4 linked regions of the Drosophila melanogaster genome follow. The protein of the gene in region 1 interacts with the protein of each later gene in a pairwise test. Each region holds a gene or a part of one and is shown in the gene's direction. Other genes may lie near its edges.

Region 1 (6,145 bases):
TCTAAAGCGAAGCATCCTTCTTGTCCCTATCGCCCGAAGTCATCTTATCCGGGTCCGATTGCGGTTTCTCTTTGCCTTGTTGCAGCTCCTCACTATTCTGGCTGCCGCTCAGTTTCTTCCTTTCACTTGTAATTAGCTGCTGCAGCTCTTGGTCCCAGCCCAAGGCTTTGGCCAGAGCCATTACGCCAGCATCACAGTCGCCCAGAAAGGCCACATCCCTAGTGTTATTGGGCTTATCGAAGAGTAGCGATCGCGTGTTGGGATCCATAAAGAGCACACAGCTGGCCTGACCCACTGCATCGCGATTGATCAAGAGGCGAATGCAACGTGGTCCTGGTCTCCACACCAGTGAAGCAAACGGTTGCACTTCCAACGATGTGCCCATGATGATCAGCAGATCGCAATCCTGGAAATCCTCTTCAGGACTGGAGTAAAATCTCTTTGGCAAGTTTTCGCCAAAGAAAACAATGTCTGGTTTAACAACGCCTTGGCACTTTTGGCATTTGGGCAGACGATCGGCGAAGATCTCCGCCTTCATCCAGTCCATGTCGTACTCCTTGCGGCACTTAATGCAGTGGTTGGTGTGGAAGCTGCCATGGGCCTCAATGATCTTGTCCTCGGGCAGGCCAGTAAGCCGGTCTAGCGTGTCTATGTTCTGGGTGTAGTGGCGCTGCAGTAGTCCCTTGTCGTTAAGCAAACGGATAAAGTAGTGGGCCGGCGTGGGAATGAAGGATCCAGGGTAAAGTTCCTTGGCCAGTGCAAAAAACGGCGCTGGATTCTTTTCGAAGTAGTCCAGATCGAATATGGCCGTAGGATGTGGCAGCTCGTACTTCTTCAGATTGCTGTATAACCCGGAACCTGGGGATCTGAAATCCGGAATGCCAGCAGCTAGGAATGGCGATAACTTAGTAAGTTTTTACAATGGTATATAGAATGTACCAACATGTAGATATGCCGGCTCCCACCATGGTCACAATCTTGCGGAAACCATGCACACGCCAATGTTCGGCAAAGCCGTCAAAACTCAAATCTGGAATAACCTGCAAATTTGCGATTTAATCAATATGATAATCAAATTATCGGGTGCTCCGCTCACCTTCTCTACTTTAACTTCCTCCTTTGCGTCCGAGGAGCCGCCGAGATGTAGAGTGTTTGCAAAGAAGCGTCGAACCTTATCCATTGTGTCGTCTAGAATTCAATTCAATTAATGAGTGACAGTAAAGACCTAACTATTTAGACTAGCCTGGGGCCTCCTCGTCGTCGTCACTGGACGAGGAATTGGAGGGCGTCGTCGGTTGTTCCTCCTTCTTTACTTCGATGTCGCCCATGGTAAACAGATTCACCTTCCGGTGAAAGTATGTAAATCTGAGGATAGTGTGATGAATTCTCCCAATTGTTTATGTTGCGTTTTGTTTTAACGTAAAAAGCAAAACAAGTTCTGACAACTATCGATAGGTTTAGGCTAACGAATAAGTTATCTCTAACAGCTATTAAAAAGCTAGAATTTTAATTTCATTGCTTATTGATTTAGATTTTAAAATCAAATTTGTGCGAGCAAACCAAAATATTATAATTACTTTAAGTAGCCTATCAATGAAAGATTTTTATTTAACAGCGATTTATTAAGGGTCGCAAATAAATATGTGTTTGTAACGGTTAGAACATATTATGACTCATTAAACAAAAAGGAACCGAATAATAGAATAACTAAAGCTAAGAAGGGCGCAAAGTTACAAAATCGAGTATAGATAAAATAACAATTACACTTTGTTGATATCTGAATATAAACTAATTGAAAGGTTAAAATCAGCTGAATTGTCAGCACGGAGTGTCCAAATAATCGATAGCTGTTATCGACCCACCCAGTGTTAGGCTCTCTAGCGCCACCAGCCCTGGCCGGCCGATAGTCGATTACTCGATGTTCGGCGGGGGTGCAGCTCTGCCCGTTCGCTCAGCCCTGGAAAACCACGCCAGTCATTTTTGTTTTGATAAGGATACGGATACAAAAAGAGCGTGGCCTGGAAAAACTGCAGAAACGGCGGAGAAAGCGCCCCAAAAGCGAGCGAAAACGGTGGAAACTGATCGTGGGGAAGTGCGCGACAAAGTGGCCGCGGATTCAGGCCCTCCCAATCGCTACGTGGAAGCGTAAGCAGCGTGTTGAAGAAGAGAAGAAGAAGAAGCAGCAGCAGCGCAGCAAAAGTACACAGAAGTGCAAACCAGACGACTGAAATAACAAATCAAAAAAGGCCCCAAAAGGAGCGGCGCAGTGGAAGCAACTGCGGGGGCGGGGAATGGCCGAGGGTCGTCGGTGGCCGCCATTGTGTAACGCCGCCGATGGGCAGACTGTAGATCCACGCTAGGATCATATCTCTCGAATATCATGCATCTGAACCATGCGACAGCCGCCACGGCAGCCATGGCCAACTATCAGCACTACCAACTGCCAGCCTCCCATGGCGGTGGCGGCGGAGGAGGAGGTGGCGGTGGCGGTGGAGGAGGGAGTAATGGTGGATCTGGACCGGGTCCCAACTCGGGACAGCAGCAGCCCACCACACTGGCCAGCCTGCAACAGAGTCCCTTTGCGCTGCATCAACTCACCGCCGTGCAGGCCATCCAGCACCCTACCCACCAAGCCATGCTCCATCCACAGCACCCGCTGGTCCATTTGCTGGACATATCCACTACAACAGCGAACAGTGGCGGAGGAGGCGGGGGCAGCCACACGCCCATTTCTCCTATGAAACAGGAGGTGCAGAGCGTGATTAGCGAGGAGGAGGTGGTGGTGGACGATCCGCGCAAGAAGAAACAGTGCCACGTGTGCAAGAACAAGTTCCGGCAGCTGACCACGTTACGCAACCACATGAAGATCCACACGGACGAGCGGCCCTACAAGTGCAAACACTGCGACAAGGCCTTCCGCCAGATCTCGACGCTAACCAACCACGTGAAAATCCACACCGGAGAAAAGCCGTTCACCTGCAACATCTGCGCCAAGGACTTTCGCCAGCAGAGCACCTTGATCAATCACATCAAGACGCACAAGGGTGAGTGTGTGGTCGCATCGTCCCAATAGACCTTATGACCTAACTCTATTTCTCGCTTCGCTTACGGGCAACAGCGGCGGAGTCCAGCACGCCAACTTCCCTGTTGAACTATCAGCCGCAGACGGGCAGTGGCAAACACCGAAAGTCCCAGATGCACCAGGCCTACCAGCAGCAGCATCAGCGCGTCCAAATCTCAAAGACCTTGTATTCCGGCAGCTACAGCTCGCCGGCGGCCGAGGAGCTGGTGAAGCCGTTCCAGTGTAGCGTTTGCAAGCGCCGCTTCCCGCAGCTGAGCACGCTGCACAACCACGAGCGGACCCACATCGATCCTAAGCCGTACAAGTGCGAAACGTGTGACAAGTCCTTTAGCCAGCTGGCGACGCTGGCCAACCACAAGAAGATCCACACGGGCGACAAGCCGTACACGTGTTCCTACTGCCACATGCAGTTCCGCCAGCAGAGCACCCTTACCAACCACCTCAAGACGCACACGCATCAGATAGCGCCTGGAGGCGTCGGTGGAGCAGGAGGCGGCGGAGGCGCCGTCACAGCCACAGGTGAGCCGCTTGTGTGTTCGCCCTACCAATGAGCCGCTTTCTGTTATCCATGTGTGCATTGATTATTAACGCTCTTCCCTAACGAAGCTTTTATTTAAATCTTGTACGCATGCTAACTTCAACAAATCATCCAACAATCCAACTCCGTACCGTCAATCTGCAGTGGATCACTCAATGCCCGCTCCTCTGGCGCCCGGGACGCAGCAGCTGACCAGTGGCCTGTTGCCGAACAACCTGCACGGTAGCACGGCGAACATCATCCAGCTGGACCACCATCCGCTACTGCATTTCCTCGACGGCAGCACCACGGTCAGCTCGGTAGTGGCCACGGCGGCGGCCAACACCAAGGTGGAGCATTTCCAGGCGGGCGGCTCGCCGTCGGGCCGGATGACCGTAGTGGGCACCATCAACATGCTGAAGGGCGACAATCCGGACCGGCCGTTTGGCTGCAGCGTCTGCCAGCGGTTCTTCTCACAGCAGAGCACCTTGGTAAATCACATCAAGACGCACACCGGAGAGAAGCCCTACAAGTGCAAGATCTGTGAGGTCAACTTCCGGCAGGTGGCCACGCTGAACAACCACATGAAGATCCACACCGGTGAAAAGCCCTACAACTGTTCCTTTTGTCCTAAACAGTTCCGGCAAAAAAGCACACTGCAAAACCACCTGCGGGTGCACACCTGCTAGACCCACTTCAGATCCAGATCGCAACGCGATCCAGGTCCGCAGCCAGCCAGCCAGCCAGTCAAGCAGCCATTGAGGAATAGTGCAATATGCATGCCACATAGCACATACACTTATAGATCGCATATACGGCATACGAATACGATTACATGAATACTATATTTGAATATATACTCGAAAGTGTTATTTACCTGCTGTGCAGAGCGCAATTGTATGTAACTATATCGTAGAGAGCTGATCCACATGCGTGTCCAATTGTAAATTAAGGCTAGCCGTGTTGGCATAAGCCACAGATGATATGATACAGGGTGTTTAGGCCTAAACTCTATACTATCCCATGATGGTTCGATTTGAGTCGGTGTGTTAAAGGTATCTTAAGGCACTTTAAAGCCATTTAGTCTAAAACGTTTTATTATCTTTTAATACCCATCAATTTCTCGCTTTTCAAAGCTTTGTAAATGAATCATCGGCGTCTTTTTAAGTTTGGTTGCTGTTTTCGAATGGCAAGGAAAATGACTACAATAAATTTAGATGTGACCTACTTTGCACAATAACCTTTTATGCCTGTATATGCATAATTGTTGTCTTTTATATTTCCTTTACAAGGAACATCTTACTAAAAAAAAAAATATTGATATTGTTTAAAACTGATACAATTCAAGTTATATTATTTGTTTTAAGGTAAAATGGTCAAAGAGTTATTAGGATTTCTTTAGCACCGAAGCTTCTTGAGGAATCAAATCGATCCATACTACAGCTATCCTCCTATGCAACTGTTGTCACCCATGCCCCTAGATCCCTCGATCCCTAACAATTAGTTCCGAGCATCGGCTTCATTCAGCTTTTCTCGTCGTGTTAAATGTTAAGCCCGCCAGCAAAGTAAAGTAAATTAATTAAAAGTAAAACTAGTTATTGCTATACTATGTGTAATCCCGCCCGCTCTGAACCGACATAAAGCGTCATCGCAACCGAACCGAACGGAAATCGAAAACAGCAACTATTTATATAAGTGTACTCTTAGCGCATACTTAGCAGCATCTTCTACTCAAATGACTACGCGCGGAGCAATGGCGATCGCATAAATAATCAATAATACATTTAATGAGCGAAAGAATGAAAACCGGGTTGCTTATAGAACAAAAACTTAGAAAACAGAGAGACACAAGAGTCCCTAAATTAAGTGAATCGATAAGGAGAACGAAGTAAAACGAGTAAAACCAGCTATAATTGAATTGATACAGATCGATCGTAAATGTTGTAGAGAATATATAGTATATATATAAATATATATAAACTACTTGTAAATGTAAGCGAAGCGAAGAGCAAAAACAACAATAAAACATGCAAACAGAAACTTTAACTATACTTTTTATTATATTGTTAACGATAGCAGCTATTAATTACCACTTTGCCCAGATGAAAACACGTCTGTTTTGATTTGAAATGGGGAGAGTTTATTAAATTCTAAGTATGCAGGTATTGGGAAGAGGAAAAACAATTCGTGTATAAGAGACACTAAAAGTAATTACTATAAGCACTTCTCGCATTAAATCTCTAAGGTATGTTGCACTGTGTATAAGTGGTGCTTTATGGGGCAGAGCCTCTCGAGCATTGTTCGTTCGTCGTTCATCCTAAATCGTGTCATTTAATATTAACTGTCTATCGAAGGAAAGGAAAAGCGAACTAGCTTTGTAGTAGCATCGTTTAAATTGGAATTTTTACGAAATCTGGTGCATCTACTCGTACGTATGTGTATATTTTGATATAAATGTATATCTCCGACAAACTAACCTACCCAGACGTTTTATCTTGAGAAAGGAATGCCCAAGGCTAAAAGGGAAGAGATTTGCATATGGACTT
Region 2 (4,810 bases), on another chromosome or scaffold:
ACTTTTGCTAGTGACTTAACACCAGTTTTGGTACTAATGCACGAATTAACCACGTAAGGAGTATATATAAGCAGAAAGGAAAATTAACAGAGGCGCGATCGAAGGGTAGGTTTTTTCCGGTTCGGTCTAACAGGTGTTTCACAAATAAAGCGCGGGCAACCGTCCAAGACATTTCCTTCGATCGCAAAAGAATTCAAGGGATGACGGTAAATGAACACCTGAATATTCTGTTGTGTACACTACATAATTCTGTAACATATTATTATACCCGTTACTCGTAGAATAAAAGATAGATTCGTTGATAAGTATGTAACAGTTAGAAGAAAGCGTTTTCGACCATGTAAAGTATATATATCTTGATCAGGATCAATAGCCGAGTCGATCTGACCCTGTCCGCTTGTTGCTTCCAGAGACAAAGACGCACGGCAACGTCACTCTTTGATTTTTCAATATATTTAACAATATTTTGACATAAATGATAAAAGTTAAATCTTATTCTGATGTCTTTTCAGTCCCCTTTAAAGAGGACAAGTGGCTAGTAATATTGACTAAGTATGTTTATAAACTAATAGATTTCATAAATGAAAAAAAACTTTGTATTTGTATTTGTTTTTTTTATACGATAGTAACACCAGTCAGCTCTAAATTTTGAAACGGTTGAGTAATCTCTCTTCTCCCTTTCGTGTAGTTTGCAACGGTAGTCGAAGATTGCTTGGCACGCGCCGTCTTCTCTTTAATAGTTTGAGTACCAGCAGCCTGCTTTAGATCGTCGTTCAGGGATGCCAATTTAACTTTTTCTTGGTTTCACTACTCTGACGAAAATGTGGATTATTTTTGTATGCATGGAAGCATAGAAACAATATATGTATGTGTATATCATAAGGTAGTGCCGACTGTACTCCTAGTACACCTATGTATATTAAACGATTTATTTACAAACGTATATTACACATTTTCAAATATGTATGTATAAATATTTGTTCGCTTGTCAACCTGTAGAATGCAGGTCACTCAATGTAACAATACGCGATCCAGACGGTTAAAAGGGGGTTGATTACTTATGTATATAAACTGACTTAGCTTCCGTTCAACAAAATGTAGTTACTTCAAATTTAATACATAGTCTTGCGTTCACTTTTCGAGAGCCTGTTGTTAAATGCCAAAAGATAACACCTTTATATGTATCTAATAATAGGAATATTAAACCGGAACCAATAAATATAGGCCTTTAGTGGAAAACAATTAGACAAATATGGGTCAGCTGGACCTTAGGAAACTTTAAGCAGTCAGGACTGTAGGGTTATGAGATTGAGGTTTGACAGATATAAAAAAGAACGATCATAATCAGGGATATACCAAACGCTTCGAAGCGCTTTCTTCTTCCTTACAACGAATTTAGAATACCCATTTCCTATACGAGTAACGGGTATAAGCACTCCAACACTCTGATCATTAAGACCAAACAGGGGAAAACAAGAATACCATCTCATCCCTTCTCATTCAGTGACTTTAACTAATTTGTTCTCTTTCCTTTTCTCTATCACTCGTTCTGTTTGAAGCGGCGATCGTATTTCAAACCCAGCTTTTGCATCCGAACAACACGCTATGTCTCCCGATTAGTCGACCGCCAGTTGAGTGCGAATGTAGCCGACCAACCGTAAAGCCGCCTTGGGCCAAGTTTTGAGAGCGACTCAAACATATAAGCCATCATAAACACACTCAAAAAAGTGGTCGGCTGAGTTTGAGCGATGTAAACTGCTTCCGTCGTCCATTGCCATTCAACAATTTAGTTTCGCTCGAGATCTCTTGGCGTACGCTTCAAGATCCACCTGGAAATCGTGTTGCTTCGTGGATTTTTAGCCAACAGGTGGTTCGCGCTGTCTTTTTTACCTTTCAAGGCTTAGATTCCTTGACTCAGTGATGTTGTTAGTGTATAAATTCGTATTTGAACGTTTTCACTACCTTAACTGAGTGACGCTAAATAACTAATAATTTATTGAAATTCTTTAAAACAATTATATGTTAACCAATCTTTATAAAACGAAAATATTCAGTGAGTAAACTAATGCATAGTTTTAAATATATTAAGGTAAAAATAATTCCTTAATCATCCAAGTTATATAACATTAAACACTTAAGGCGCTTGAGCTCGGCTTTAAATATACTCCGAATTTGAACAGCTTATATTTACCCACGCTCCTGACCTTGGAATACTTGTTTTCTTTGTTTTCCTCGACTGTCTTAACTAAAAATTCTGGCTCCCCATAGCTATTATTCGGCTGGAGTGTGTGAAAATACAATTATTTTTCCCACTTTTAATTTTGTTGAATTGAATGAAGTATGGGTTTTATTCTGCCTGAATACCAGTTGGTAATGAAAATAACAAATTGTAGAAGCTCCAATGACCTCGTAACAGGACCGCTGTGCCCGACCGTGACTTTTAACTATATACTTCCAAATTCATTTAAAATTAATTTATAAAAAAAATTTAAAATTAATTAATTTTTTATTTATTATTATTATTATCAACAAGAAAATGTGTATATCGAATTCGAGCCCTTTATTCGAATTCGAACACAACAACAAAACTACAAAACTTGTACTACTAAACTTGTACTAACTAACTACTACCTGTTACTAATAGAGTAAAAGGGTACACCAGATTCGTTGAAAAGTTGAAAGGTAGATGGAAGTGTTTCCGACCATATAAAGTATATATATTCTTGATCAGAATCAATAGCCGAATCGATCTGACCTTGTCCGTATGTCCGTGTGTCCGTCTGACAGTCTGTCCGTCCGTATGAACGTCGAGATCTCAGGAACTACAAAAGCTAGAAGGTTGAGATTAAGCATACAGATTCTAGAGACATACACGCAGCACAAGGTATTGCCACGCCAACTGTTACGCCCAAAACTGCCACGCCATTGAAATATATTTTGAAATTTGTTCATATTTGTTTCCTAAATTTCTATCGATTTGCCATGCCCACTCTTACGCGTACAAACCGTTTAGAACTGCCACGCCCACATATTTGCAAAATGATATTTTTTCATATTTTCTTTAGTTTTTGTAAATTTATATCTACATTTTCTTTTTGCAACGCCCGCTGTTACGCCTACAAGCCGCCCAAGACTGCTACGACCACATTTTTGACCAAATTTTAAATTTTTTCTCATTTTTATCATTAAAAAAATAAGAAATGCGTTAGCTGAGTAACGGGTATCTGATAGTCGCGGAAGTCGACTGTAGGATTCTCTCTTGTTTTTTAAATTAATTTTCCTCGTGAATTATAAAAGCGGTGCAAGCTTGTTTCATACCTGTGCCACGCAGGCACTATATGTATTTTGATTTTTTATTGATTTTATTTTTTTGTCATTCTAATTTTTATCGACGAACCCCAAAATGTTCTCATAAAAAAATGGCTCCAATGTTATTAAACATTGCTGCTACTAGCTGATTAATAGGTATCTGATAGTCGGGGAACTCGACTTTAGCGCTCTTTCATTTTAGGCTATTTAGGAAACAATAAATGTAGAAAGAAAGCAGATGGCCTAAACGAACACATTTATTCCCATACCCATACACGTAGCTGACTCGATCATTTAGCTATATTGACCCTTAGGGGAGTGTCAGTCCCAAAAAGGTCAATTAACAACAGGTGAATAAGTGCTAGCAACCACGTTTGCGCGGGTTAAGGCTTCATTCGGCGGGAAGAAAGTGCACCTTGCCCTGGATAACAAGAGCGGATAGTGAAATAGTGAAATATATGTGTGCCATTGAAAGGTACGAATCACAAGAAAGATTGCTATAGTCAAGTTGGCCGACTATTAGATACCCGTTACGCAGCTAGTGGAAATGCCAAAGAGAAAATTTCATAAATTTTGGCTAAGCGATAAATATTGTGGAATAAAATTACTAAAAATTAAAAAAATGCTTATAAGTCTAAGCTCTTTGTTATAATAAAATTAATAAAATTATGAAAAAATATCCAAAAATTCTTCAAAAATGTAATCGAGGCAATTTTGTTTGTGGGCGTGGCAACAGGGGGGTATGTCTCTAGAATCTGTATGCTGAATCTCAACCTTCTAGCTTTTATAGTTCCTGAGATCTCGACGTTCATAGGGACAGACTGGCAAGGCCAGATCGGCTCGGCTATTGATCCTGATCAAGAATATATACACTATATATAGTCGGAGACGCTTCCTTCTGTCTGTTACACACTTTTCACAAAATCTTGTATACCCTTTCACTCTACGAGTAACGGGTATAAAAATATCATAATTTGGTCTGTTACTCGTAGAGTAAAATTAGTTGAAAAGTATGTAACAGGCAGAACGGATCGTTTCCTACCGTATGAAATACATACATTCTTGATCAGGATCAACAATCTGGCCATGGTCTGAACGCAGTGATCTAGGTAACTCTAATAGAAAGAAACGATTAAGATTAACAAGCAAATTTTAGAGCCACCTTCGCTGTATGATTTTTTTCCCAGCACTCACACTAGCTGAGTAACGAGTTTTTGATAGTCGAGGAAATCAACTTTAAAATTTCTAGTTATTCATAAATATGCCAAATCGGGATATACCATTTATATAAAAATACATTAATTTAGTTCATAGTTTCGCGTTTTCCATCATAAAATGCTCTTATTTGAATGTATCACTTTAAAACTTTCTTTATATATAGCTCGGTTGATTTAGTTCATTTATTAAAGCCATTACGTGTTGATTCGTTGAAAAGCAGAAGTGTTTTCGATCTTATAAAATATATATTCATAACTGTCTAGACGAGTCGATCTACAGATTC
Region 3 (4,941 bases), 2.8 Mb from region 1:
CGACTGTTACTGTATATTATCATGGAATTGAATTGCATAATTTATTGAGGTGCGGCGGCGAGTTCAAGCCCTTTGATATAATATATATCGTACTTTGTATATAGAAGAAGCATTATAGTGACTGAATATCTTATTGTAATTGTGTATATAATACTTAATAGTTAACTGCGTATTTATACTTAATATTTAATGAAATATAAAGAAATTGTTTGATAAATGAATGTGTGTTATTGCTGCATTTCAGGTTATTCAAATGAGCGCTATAGTATCGTTGTAAAATTTTGACTATTTGAAATTCTCCCGCCAAGCGCCTTGCTGAAATACGGGCACATCAATGGCAGAGCAGCCAGCCTTGAAATACTAAAATGCATTCTCTCAACCGCATGGCCACACTGAAAATATCGATAACAAATCGGCTAGACTTGTTGATGTTTCCTAGTAGGAAATTCCTCCGCTTCCAATTTTAGTTATTTGTCTTCAAATGTTTTTTTGTTTCATATTCTAAACTGGTTGCTTGGAAAGATTGCTAGATTGTCCATCATTCCGAATCGTGCCTAATCAGGTGTCCGGCTGCCACGCTCCGAATTGCCTTGAAATTCAACATGAATGTTTGTCGCCTGTGCTTGTCGAAGGAACCCAATTTCCCCGTTTTCGGTGCAAATGGATCGACTGCTCTGCAGATAATGGTCTGCACATCGCTGGAGATCGAGCCCGGCGACGGTCTGCCACAGCACATATGCACCATGTGTCGGCTGCAACTGGAGGAGATGCACTGCTTCCGACGACGCTGCCTCGCAGCCGATCGCAAATTGAGGCGCCACAAGGCGTTGCAGCGGCAGGGTGTCAAGTCGCAGCTGAGTGAAGTGGAGGAGGAGCGGGGCTCCGGGGAAGGATGCACGCAAACTGGCTGCGCCGAGAACAATGCCCAGTGGCGCCAGCAGGCCGCCCAGCTCATTAGCAGCGAGATCGACGCGTATAAAAAGGAGCTGCTCAGCACTTGCAAGCAAGCTGTGCGGGCGGAAATCGAGCTGGAGCTGCGGGCGGAACTCGAAGAGGTCATCATACCCGAAGCCAAGCAGCAGTTGCGACTGAGCGTTCTGGACGACGTGTTTGTCGAACTGGAACGGTACTTTGTGCGCAAGCGCAATGAGGCGACCTATGAGATGAAGATGAACTTAAGCAGTCCGCTGCCTGACGAACAGACCGCTGGCTTCTACGAAACAGACATGGGCCAGGAGCTAAGGGAGCAGAGCGATAACAGCGTGGTGGAGTTACTGGGTAAGACCAGCCCACTTACTTTGCAATTGCACGACTTATATATTTCTCAAATGTAATAGACGATGAACCAGAAGCCAGCAGACAGCCAGCTGCAACGCCACTAGTTGCTGTGCCCATGGTTGAGATCAACATGAACGACCCGCAGCTGAGTCATCTGCGCAACGACTATAGCAAGGACACCTTTCTGGGTGCCAACACAACTGCCTTAGAGGATGTAAAAACCCCATCGCCGTGTCGAAAGAAAGTGCGCTTTATGAGCCCCAAGCAGACGACCGATAACCTGTGCCGAAAGCACAGTTCCTTCAAGACAAAATGCAGCAGTTCGTACGCCGATTTCAAAAGTTGTGTGCGCTGTCGTCTAAGAGGAGCGGATAAGCTAAATAACACCGTGACGTAGCCACGTAACAACGAATTTAGTTTAATCCTCTATATTATAAGAATAGTACCTTTTTTTGTGCACGCATATTTGACTAAGCCATCACCTATTTTAATTGTCATTGTATTCTATTAAACTTTAAATATGCACATTCGGTATGCATTGGATTTGTATGAAAATCAATACCTTTAAACCTTACATTAATAAATTAAGTTATGATACGTTTATGGGCCGTATATATCAAATTGTTTATTTACGAACAGTGTGACTGTATTGCTTTCGTTTCGAGAGGAGGTATTTTTAGCGAACCTGTCTGCGGTCACATTGCTTGCGATGCAGAGACGCCACCGAGTAAATACGTTGATTTACCAAAAATAGACGCCTTCATGGATGCACAGCCGTCGTATCCCGATTTGGCGACCCTGTGCCGCCTTTGCCTCAAGGAGCACCAGGATGCGTACGCGATCTTCGACGAGGACGACACCCAGCTCTCGATACCCGTGCGCCTGATGGCCTGCGTCGCACTGGACGCCAAGGCGACGGATACTCTGCCGAAGAGGATCTGCCAGGAGTGCCGCTATCAGCTGGAGAAGTCATTCCTGTTCCGGCAGCGCTGCCAATGGGCGGAGAAGAAGCTTCGCAAGCATATCCGACTTCTGGGTCTCGGGAAGCGAAGCCGCGTCTTCTCCAAGGATCCGGACGATTATGACGAGGACGAGCTGGAGTTCGAGGACTCTATTGCCTTCATCGAGGTGCAGGACAAAGTGCGCAAGCTTGAGGACGAAAAGTGGCGAGAAGATTTTAAGGAAGAACAGGCGGCGGAAATGCACAAACGGCTGGTCAAATCTCGTCTAGAACTTCGAGCGAAACTGACCACCGAACTGCGCAAGGAACTAGCGGAGGAGGTGCGCAGTGAGGTTCGCAAGGAGCTGGCCGAGGAGGTGCGCAGCCAGGTTAGAGATGACCTGCGAAACGAGGTGAGCGAGGACATAAGAAAAGAGCAGCTGGCCATGCTGTTGGGCGAATTGGAGGTGTATCTTACCGAGAAAAAGGCCGGTCGGTGGGAGTCTTTGGATGGGTCCGAACCAGAGACCAAGCCGCAAGTCAAGGAAGATGCCTCCCCTTCTAGGTCAAAAACTAAAGCTCTTCCAAAGCGACGACCCAGCTTGGTCGACGCCAATCTAAAGGCGACAGAGGCCAGGAAGGATGCAAAAGAAGAGGAATTCATATTGGGCTGCAATACCGACCCCGCAAATAATAGCGATGTAAACATAGATGGCCTCGAACTGGACGAGGAAGTGCCCGCGGAAAGCGGTGAAGACTTCAGGGAAATCAACATGGTTGGATCAGATGTAGTGCACACAGACAATGGAGAGATTTACATCATAAACTCTGCCAGCTCAGAGGATCAAAACCAGGACTCCACTCCCGAATTTGACCAGGACAACGGAATCACCTCCTATAACAGTAAGTGGGTATAATTTGGCAAAAAAAATGTGAAAAAATTTTCATTTCATTAAATTCTTTGCTTAGTCAAAGAAGACGGCGAAATTCAGTTCAGTGGCGAAAAGCCAGAGGAAATCGAAGACGTGGTCGTGTTTAATCTGGGCGAGGAGATATCTCAGGAGCAACAGGTCTTCAGCTTCCATGAAAATGTCATTATAGTGGTAACTAACCGTGTGATTTTAAATTGAACTCGAATTCAACTTGGATCTTATTATCTGTAGGAAAAAGAACAGAACGATAGAGATGAGCAGACGCCCCTCAAACGAAAGAGATCGAGTGAGTTGGTGTTCAAGCAGGAGTCCAGTTGTCCTCAACCAAAAACCGGTCGAATTACGGACACGGTGAAGTCGTTCCAGTGCCATTTGTGCCCGGTGGCATTTCCTACGCAGAAACTTCTGACGCGCCACCACAACACCCACATTAAGGGACTGAAAAGTGGAAAGGGCGGCACGCTCAAGTGTCCCAGCTGCGCACTGCAACTGTCGTGCGCCAGCTCGCTCAAACGCCACATGATTATCCACACGGGCCTGAAACCCTTCAAGTGCAGCGAGTGCGAACTGTCCTTCTCCCAGCGCGAAGTGCTCAAGCGTCACATGGACACCCATACGGGAGTAAAGCGCCATCAGTGCCCCCAATGCTCGAGCTGCTTTGCCCAGAAGTCCAACCTGCAGCAGCACATTGGCCGCGTGCATATGGGCAACTCTCGGACGCACAAGTGTCATCTGTGTCATCGTAGCTTCAATCATGTTTCGGGCCTCAGTCGCCATCTGGTCACCCACGCTGGCGTCATGTTCTCCTGCAAACAGTGCGGCCGTCAGTTTAACGATCGCAGTGCGGTCCAGAGACATGTAACCACAATGCACAAGGTGAAGAACAAGCTCACAGACTACATATCCGAGACGAACGAGTTTCAAGCTGTGGCCTAGAATAGTCCCTGGACATGTTTTACCAATACACCGCAGATTGGACCACCATGTTTTACACCTGAAGAGACCAACTTTGATTGATCTGAATATTTTACAACTTTATTCGCGAACCTAGAGTGCTCACAACAGTTGGCACCAAAAATCATCAACATGATAGCGTTAAAACATTTAGAAACATGCAGCATTAAACAGTTTAGCAAACAAATACAAATCGGAACATTTGGAACAGCTCTGTAACAAGATACATATAGCTAGACGTACATTTTACAATATCGTTTAATAAATACCACATAAGACGATGTACAATTTTATAGGCAAATATACGTATTTTTAATAAACTCAACTGCTCTACGAATACTTTAAACTTAAGCTAATCGCCAAAAACGGATTCAAAATGCGCCTAAGAGAAAACGAACGATCGTGCCTGCCATTCGAATGCCAAATGCAATGAATAATATTTTCTTGTATAATCGGAAGCGCTTTTCAAATGAGATTACCAAGGGAAACAAGCCCGCAACGACATCCTTAGAGGTCGAAACCGTTTAACATTCCTGGTTAATGCGTTATAAAGCCAATAACAATCCAATATCACGCTATCCTAATAATTGGAACAAATTATTCCATAATATCCAGTAAGGTCCTAACTCTTGCGGCCCTTCTGCCACTGCTAGTCGGAGTTTGTAAGCGAGCTGCGCTGCGATTCGAGTGTATTTGAGTCGTGCCGCTGGCGCAGAACTCGCGTCTGGCTGGCTGGTAACTTGGAGAAGTCCTTCATTACGTTCTTGTACGTCTCATCTTCGCCATTGTACTCGTCGTTGGGTCCAATCTCGTCATTCAGTTGTGTCAATCGGAGTC
Region 4 (6,161 bases), on another chromosome or scaffold:
GTTTGCCCCATCGACATCCTTAAGTGACAAATCCAATGCCAGCCAATAAATTATTCGAGTGGCTGATATTCCAAATTGAATTAGCTTGACGATAAAGTGACAAAGTGTCCATCGCAGCTGAAGAAGATAATGCCGGCGGACCTGAGATAAGCCGAAGACGGTGGTTATATACGAACAAGGTGTTTGTTTCAGTCTTTTACTTTTATCTCTTCATTTTCCAGGCAAACCTCGTGGACACCCTGTGCGCAGATCATGGCTCCACCACAATCAGGCGAGATAACCATCACTTTTTTAGGCTGCGCAACGGAGAACTGACTGGAAGGGGAGTTCAGACGGAGGTGTGCGCCAACGGAGGTGATTCGGTCCTGGCCTGGATTCCCTACCACACCGTGCTCAAGAACTATGCGGCCGAGCTGAATCCCAAGGAGCGACTGACATACATTGCCAAGGCCACGAACGTGGAGCGGGAGAAGACAGAGCTCTGTCACTTCCGACACACGGATCTTGTCAATGCGGTGTCCGACAATCTGTTCACCTGTGTGGTCATGATTTTTGGCGATAACTTTGTAAGTTCCTCGGGAAGATGGTTCGGTTGATGTCCTACAAATATGTTATCTTTATAGTATGGTCTTGAGGATAACATTAACGTACTGGTGGAACTGGAACCTTTGGCATACCAGCTGAGGAACATTACTTACCTGCCGTGGCGCAATGTGACTAACAGCTACAAGATGCACCTGGGTGACAGTGTGCTCCGAAATCCCAGTGGCGAACGTAAGCCCATTTACGGTAGCCTGAACTACGATTTTGTGGAGAAGATCCTTGTGAACATGTCCAGTGTGTACCAGCATAGGAAGCTATCCAGGCTGCCTCTGCTCTTCGAGCACCGGTCCTCTGTTCTCGAGTTGGACTTGTATGGTATGGGTGGCCTGGATGTTGCGGAAAAAGCCTATTTCGGACGAAGCATGGACCCCAGGAGCGAGGTGAAGGTGCAGGTGATTGGTCAATGGGTAGACCAGCATCGGGAGTTCGACGCCGACATATACGAGTACTATGGCCATGGGCTGAGACGCTATAAGGAAACTCTGACCGGGGCCCGGCTCACCTTCATCCGAATAGATTATACGGAGCCGGTTTTCATGGCTCCGGAGTCTAGCAACCTGGCCAAGGCCTCGCTTTTCCGAGAGCCGAAGGTTGGCCAGATAAGGGAGGATCCATCGGGCAACTATACCGAGTGGGAGAACGCACAGGAAGAGGATTACGATGAGGAAGGTCCAGGATTCTACTGCTGGTTTGTGATTACTTGTCTGCTTTTGGCCCTCGCTATTATCCTGGGCATATACATTGTAGTAAGCGCTCACAACAGGAGAACCAAGAAGCGCCACATGTACGAAGTGGCCAACACGAATGTGCCTCCACCCGCCTAAAAATTATGGACATTAAGTTAAGTTTTCTAAATCAGAAAATAACACCAGGATCAACAGGTGTTTTCAGTTCGAAATGTCAGTTTAAAAAACGAGTTGGCAGCTCAATTGCTATGTCCTCGAATTAAAATTTGTGTGTTCGTTTTTTGGGTTAGATTTATTAAAAATTTCGGCTTGAAAATGTTAATGTGAGTCAAAAAACTGTTGTGTGTTTCATTGAATATGTAAAGAAATCCCCTGGTATGAACGGCAAGGAATGGCTCTAAAATCGAGAAATTAAAGAGACTTGTGAGCTGAAGGACCCACATCAAAAACCTAAGTTGTAAATAGAGAAAAGGTAAGTTTCAATGGAATTTCATGCCTTAAACATAAGAAGTTTTAAGTATTAAAAAGAAATCTAGAAATCTGAGGAAATAAACAAAATGATTTCCGACCGGCATGCGTTAGGGATTTCTGTCTTTATACCACGTTGGCAGCGCCATTCACAACACGCCTATCATCTCACTCACACTCGCACACAGAGAAAGACAGATAGAGGCAGAAGTTCAGTTCATCAATTCATTCATCTCATGGAAGAACCTTATTGATAACGTCGCCAGAGATAGCTAGTGATTTCATTCGATCAGGGTCCCGAAAGACCCACTGGTGTGCACTTGTTTTGGTTTTGAAGTTCGCATCTCTGGGAACGTGTGTGTTTCGCCCTGAACCACAAATATGTGAGTTCCGAATGCGATTTGTGTGACGCGGCCATATTTAAAGAGTTTTTTGTGTTGAATGTGGGGCGAGCTGCGAAAATTACATAAATACAGCGCAGGTGAGTTCATTTTTGTTGCGGGAACCCGGTCGAAAGGTGCTCTAAGTGCGGGTGCAAGTGAATCGAAAACAATATTTACCCAATTCAAGTCGGGAATTATGTATTTGTTTCGTTTTTTGGGCCTAAAAATCGCATTTTTCGCTCACACCAACACCAAGATGGTAAATTGTGTATAACAATATGGCTGTCTCTGTCTGGCACAAGAGCTACCAGACGTGTCGACAGTCCCTGTTATTAACAGCGGGTTAGCAGGTCATTTTACAACAGATGAAATTATTCTGAATTTTAATTGACCATTTTTTGGCGGGCAAATCATAACAAACCTCGTACTCATGCACCTTTCGGGGATCCGCTCATTCTAATGGTTATTTTAAATTAAAAAAAACTGGCCCATTGCAGCCTCCCCCTAGGAACACGAAGTGATGGATCGCAAGAAGGTCCTGGAGCTTGACAAGATCTGCCGCCTGTGCATCTCGGAGCGCAAGGAGATGCGCCCGCTGTTCAGCGAAAAGGTGCCCGAAATGCTGATGGACTGTACCAGCGTGCGGGTGGAGCCCACGGAGGGCTGGCCGGACAAGATCTGCGTGCAGTGCGTCCACGCCGTAAGCCGGAATCACGCCTTCAAGACGCTCGTCGAGCGCAGCGACAAGGAGCTGCGCGAGTATATCCGCGGTCTTACCGTGGCACTGGTAATGGAGGAGCAGCAGCAGCAGGAGGCGGCAAACGCTAAGCAGCAGCTTCAGCTGGAGCGGAAGCAACAGCGACAGCTGCAGAAGCAACAGAAAATCCTCGAGGAGCAACTCCAGCAGCAGATAGTCCAGCAGCAACAGCATCAGCCTCCTGCCAAACCAAAACTGAAGCCGCTGCTCCGCAAGGGCTCCCGCCAGCAGAAGCAGAGGCATTTGGAGGCCGCACCAGCACCACAGTCAGTCCCGCAGCCCGCCCCTCAGCCACAGATGCAATTAATGCAGGAACATGCGCCGCAACAGCCCACTATGCAGCAGCAGATCCAGCAGATTCATATGCCCACACTTCAGCCTGCTCCCGCCCAGCTACTGTCCGCTGCCGGTGCCACCACGACTATGCCGCAGCAGATCCTGTTGCCCAACGGCCAATTGATAACGACTGCTCAGATTGTAGCGCCGCAGTTGGCGCAGATCATCAGCACAGCGCCGCAGTCAACGACTAATGGTCAGGCCACCGCTGCGCAATCGCAATTCCTGCCACAGCTTCTACAGACGCCGAACGGACAGACGTTGCAGATTGTTCAGCAGCCCAATGGCACGCAGACCCTGCAGCTGGTTCAACTTGTGCCGCAACGCAGTTTGGCTCCGACCGGAGTCACGACAGTGACCACAACTACCAACGCCACGGATATGGGTCAGCATGTAGGCGCTTCTCTCGGTGATGCCGACGTGCAGTTGCTGGAGGACGGCTGTGAGGTGGAAGACGAGGAACTGGAAGATGTGTACGAGCAACTGGATAGCAAGGCAGATCACAGCTTTGAGACTATTGTACTGGACGACGATCAGCAGCAGGACTTCCTAAAGGACCACCACGAGCACCACCAAGTAATGATCAACGAGGATCTCACGCAGAGTGAAAGCCAAGACCATGAGTACTTCGACGATTTGGACCAACAGCAAGCAATGGACGAGATAGAAGACGAGGAGGAGCAAATGAAGCCCGAAGAGGACCAGGATACGTTCATAATCGAGGAGATTCAGCTGGAGGATGACGAGATGCTCGATGATCCGGATGGGGAGGAAATCGACCAGGATTGTGAGTACATCGGTGAGGAACAGGATCCGCATTTGTCCGGCGACGTAGACGACGATCTGGAGTATTCCATTATGGAGCCGCCGGATGGCGAGACAAGTGTGGACATTGACCAGGCATTCATGGATTCTGAGCAGTCGCATCATCAGCAGCACCAAGAAGAGATGCAGAGCATATCACTGGAGAACGCTGTTGTAGAGTTCAGCCAGGCCACAACTACAACGGAAGCCCTGGTGGGTCCCACTATGACCGTCAGCTCGGCCAGTCCGACGCCAAAGCGAGCCAAGCGAAGTAACCACCAAATTCCAGCCGGTGTGACTCTGGAACCCTGCGACCACCAACCACCTGCCGCTGGATCAACGACCAGCAGCAAGCTGGCCGCAGCCAACTCTCGCCAGTTGGTGCAGACGGCCAGCGTGATTGCAGCCGCCGGTGCGGACGACAACTACGAAATAGATGCTAATCTGGTAACTGAGTTCATACGACAGCACACCTCGCCTCTGGGATCTGGGAGATACATTTGTCACCTGTGCAGCACCGAGTTCCGGCAGTTCAAGGGCCTGCAGAACCACATGCACTCCCACACCAACTGGATACGGGCCAATTGCAAGAAACAGCCGCAGTGCCAGATCTGCCTAAAGAGCTTTAAGGGCCCAGGAATGCTGCGGATGCACATGAAGACGCACGACGCTGAATCCAGCACACCGATGTGCACCATTTGCAATCGAACCTTCAAGTCCAAGGCGATCTTGTACAGGCACAGACAGACGCACCAGCAGAGAGCGTATTGCTGCGGCGTGGCCAACTGCCGAAAGAACTTCTCGTCCGCGGTGAACCTCAAGTGGCACGTAGAACGCAAGCATCCGGAGGTTGTGGATCCGCTGTTCAAGTGCGGCGAGTGCGGATCTTTGTACGACAACGTGGACTCACTGCAGCTGCATGTGGAGAGCACGGATCACAGTGCAGAGGTGCAGATCAGTGGCCAGGACGATGCTTTCAGCGGGGCGGTAAGCATCGTCAGCAACGGCACCACCGACATGTCGAACATGATGGCAACCGGCCAGGGTACGACTTTGGCCGGCGGCACGGGCGATACCCACGCCGTGGTCATGGGCTCATCCGGCGAGGTGTACTTCGTGACGCAGGCGTAGCCAGCGGAGTTTGCCGCAGCGGGCGCTCCTGGAAACGGCGAGTGCCTGCTCGGCATTTAGATGACCACTTAGATGTAATATATATACATATATATATATATATTTTTGTACTACCCCCGTCTAGATAACAATTTAGGAATAAGCACAACTACACAAATATTGCAATCCTAGATTTCTGTCGTAGAACTTGTTTAGTAGGACCTAAGCGATTCACTCGAATTTTGTAAGCAGATACGAAACTTTAGGTAGGCAGATCGAGGCGGATCCTCACATCCAAACGCTTGGGGCATAAATCCTGCGTGGACTGTGCCAGTTTTTGTTTTTAATTTTATTACCCTACTATTATTATTTTGTTTTCCCGGGGAATACAGACTGGCATTTTAGGCTAAACGTATTTTGGCGTTGGGTTTTCATTGTTGGGCTTTGAAATAAGTGAATTTGTTTTAACTGAACAACAAAATAAATTAACAAACCTTCTATGAAACCATAATTTGTCTTTCTTGTACGTCCCATCTGGCCGGTAATATTTATTTTTAAGCGTGTAATCCAATTCGCTGGCTTTGTTGGCTTGTTGTTCAATTGCATTGACAGAAGACCGGGAAAAAACAGAACCCAAACAAAATTGATCGAAAGAAAACAACAATCAAGCCAAGGTCTTGTCTATTGATTCCCAATTGCCACGTGTCGCGTTCATCCGGTTATGGGAAGTATCTGGATAACTACGATTCGCGTATGGATGCTTATGTAAATCTGTAAATGCCTATTAGTGTGATTTAGGTACATGTACATACATATATATTATATTATCCATAAAAAGTGACCCCCCAATAATCGGTTATCTGATCGCAGTCTGAAATCTCCGGCTGTCACAAGAAATTGTTAATTAATTAGCAAATAAGCCGCGAAAATAATCAATTGGAATAACATTGTGACAGCTAAAATCGCCAGGCGTTTATTTGTTTTGTTCAGATTATATATGGCGGTCAGCCGCGT

Evidence for each region.
Region 2: the proteins of CG4360 (region 1) and sv interact in a two-hybrid assay, tested with the Drosophila melanogaster proteins (one large-scale study listed by BioGRID).
Region 3: the proteins of CG4360 (region 1) and CG31365 interact in a two-hybrid assay, tested with the Drosophila melanogaster proteins (one large-scale study listed by BioGRID).
Region 4: the proteins of CG4360 (region 1) and CG10321 interact in a two-hybrid assay, tested with the Drosophila melanogaster proteins (one large-scale study listed by BioGRID).

The regions. Positions count from the first base shown.
Region 1 is NT_033777.3:20,323,772-20,329,916, reverse strand, and holds CG4360 (uncharacterized protein), read left to right. Parts: upstream 1-1,913; 5' UTR 1,914-2,380; coding exon 2,381-3,044; intron 3,045-3,118; coding exon 3,119-3,601; intron 3,602-3,656; exon of another isoform or gene 3,657-3,688; coding exon of another isoform or gene 3,689-3,699; exon of another isoform or gene 3,700-3,764; coding exon 3,765-4,288; 3' UTR 4,289-5,643; downstream 5,644-6,145. Other genes in the region: Sirt2 (sirtuin 2), read right to left, coding at 2-888, 944-1,040, 1,097-1,188, 1,244-1,328.
Region 2 is NC_004353.4:1,087,010-1,091,819, forward strand, and holds the start of sv (shaven), read left to right. Parts: upstream 1-1,788; 5' UTR 1,789-2,053; intron 2,054-4,810.
Region 3 is NT_033777.3:23,123,442-23,128,382, reverse strand, and holds CG31365 (uncharacterized protein), read left to right. Parts: upstream 1-1,960; 5' UTR 1,961-2,040; coding exon 2,041-3,121; intron 3,122-3,187; coding exon 3,188-3,321; intron 3,322-3,381; coding exon 3,382-4,086; 3' UTR 4,087-4,421; downstream 4,422-4,941. Other genes in the region: CG31457 (uncharacterized protein), read left to right, coding at 603-1,278, 1,338-1,675; CenB1A (centaurin beta 1A), read right to left, coding at 4,754-4,940.
Region 4 is NT_033778.4:21,632,744-21,638,904, forward strand, and holds CG10321 (uncharacterized protein), read left to right. Parts: upstream 1-1,935; 5' UTR 1,936-2,238; intron 2,239-2,637; 5' UTR 2,638-2,660; coding exon 2,661-5,168; coding exon of another isoform or gene 5,169-5,228; 3' UTR 5,229-5,656; downstream 5,657-6,161. Other genes in the region: CG15674 (uncharacterized protein), read left to right, coding at 222-566, 624-1,427.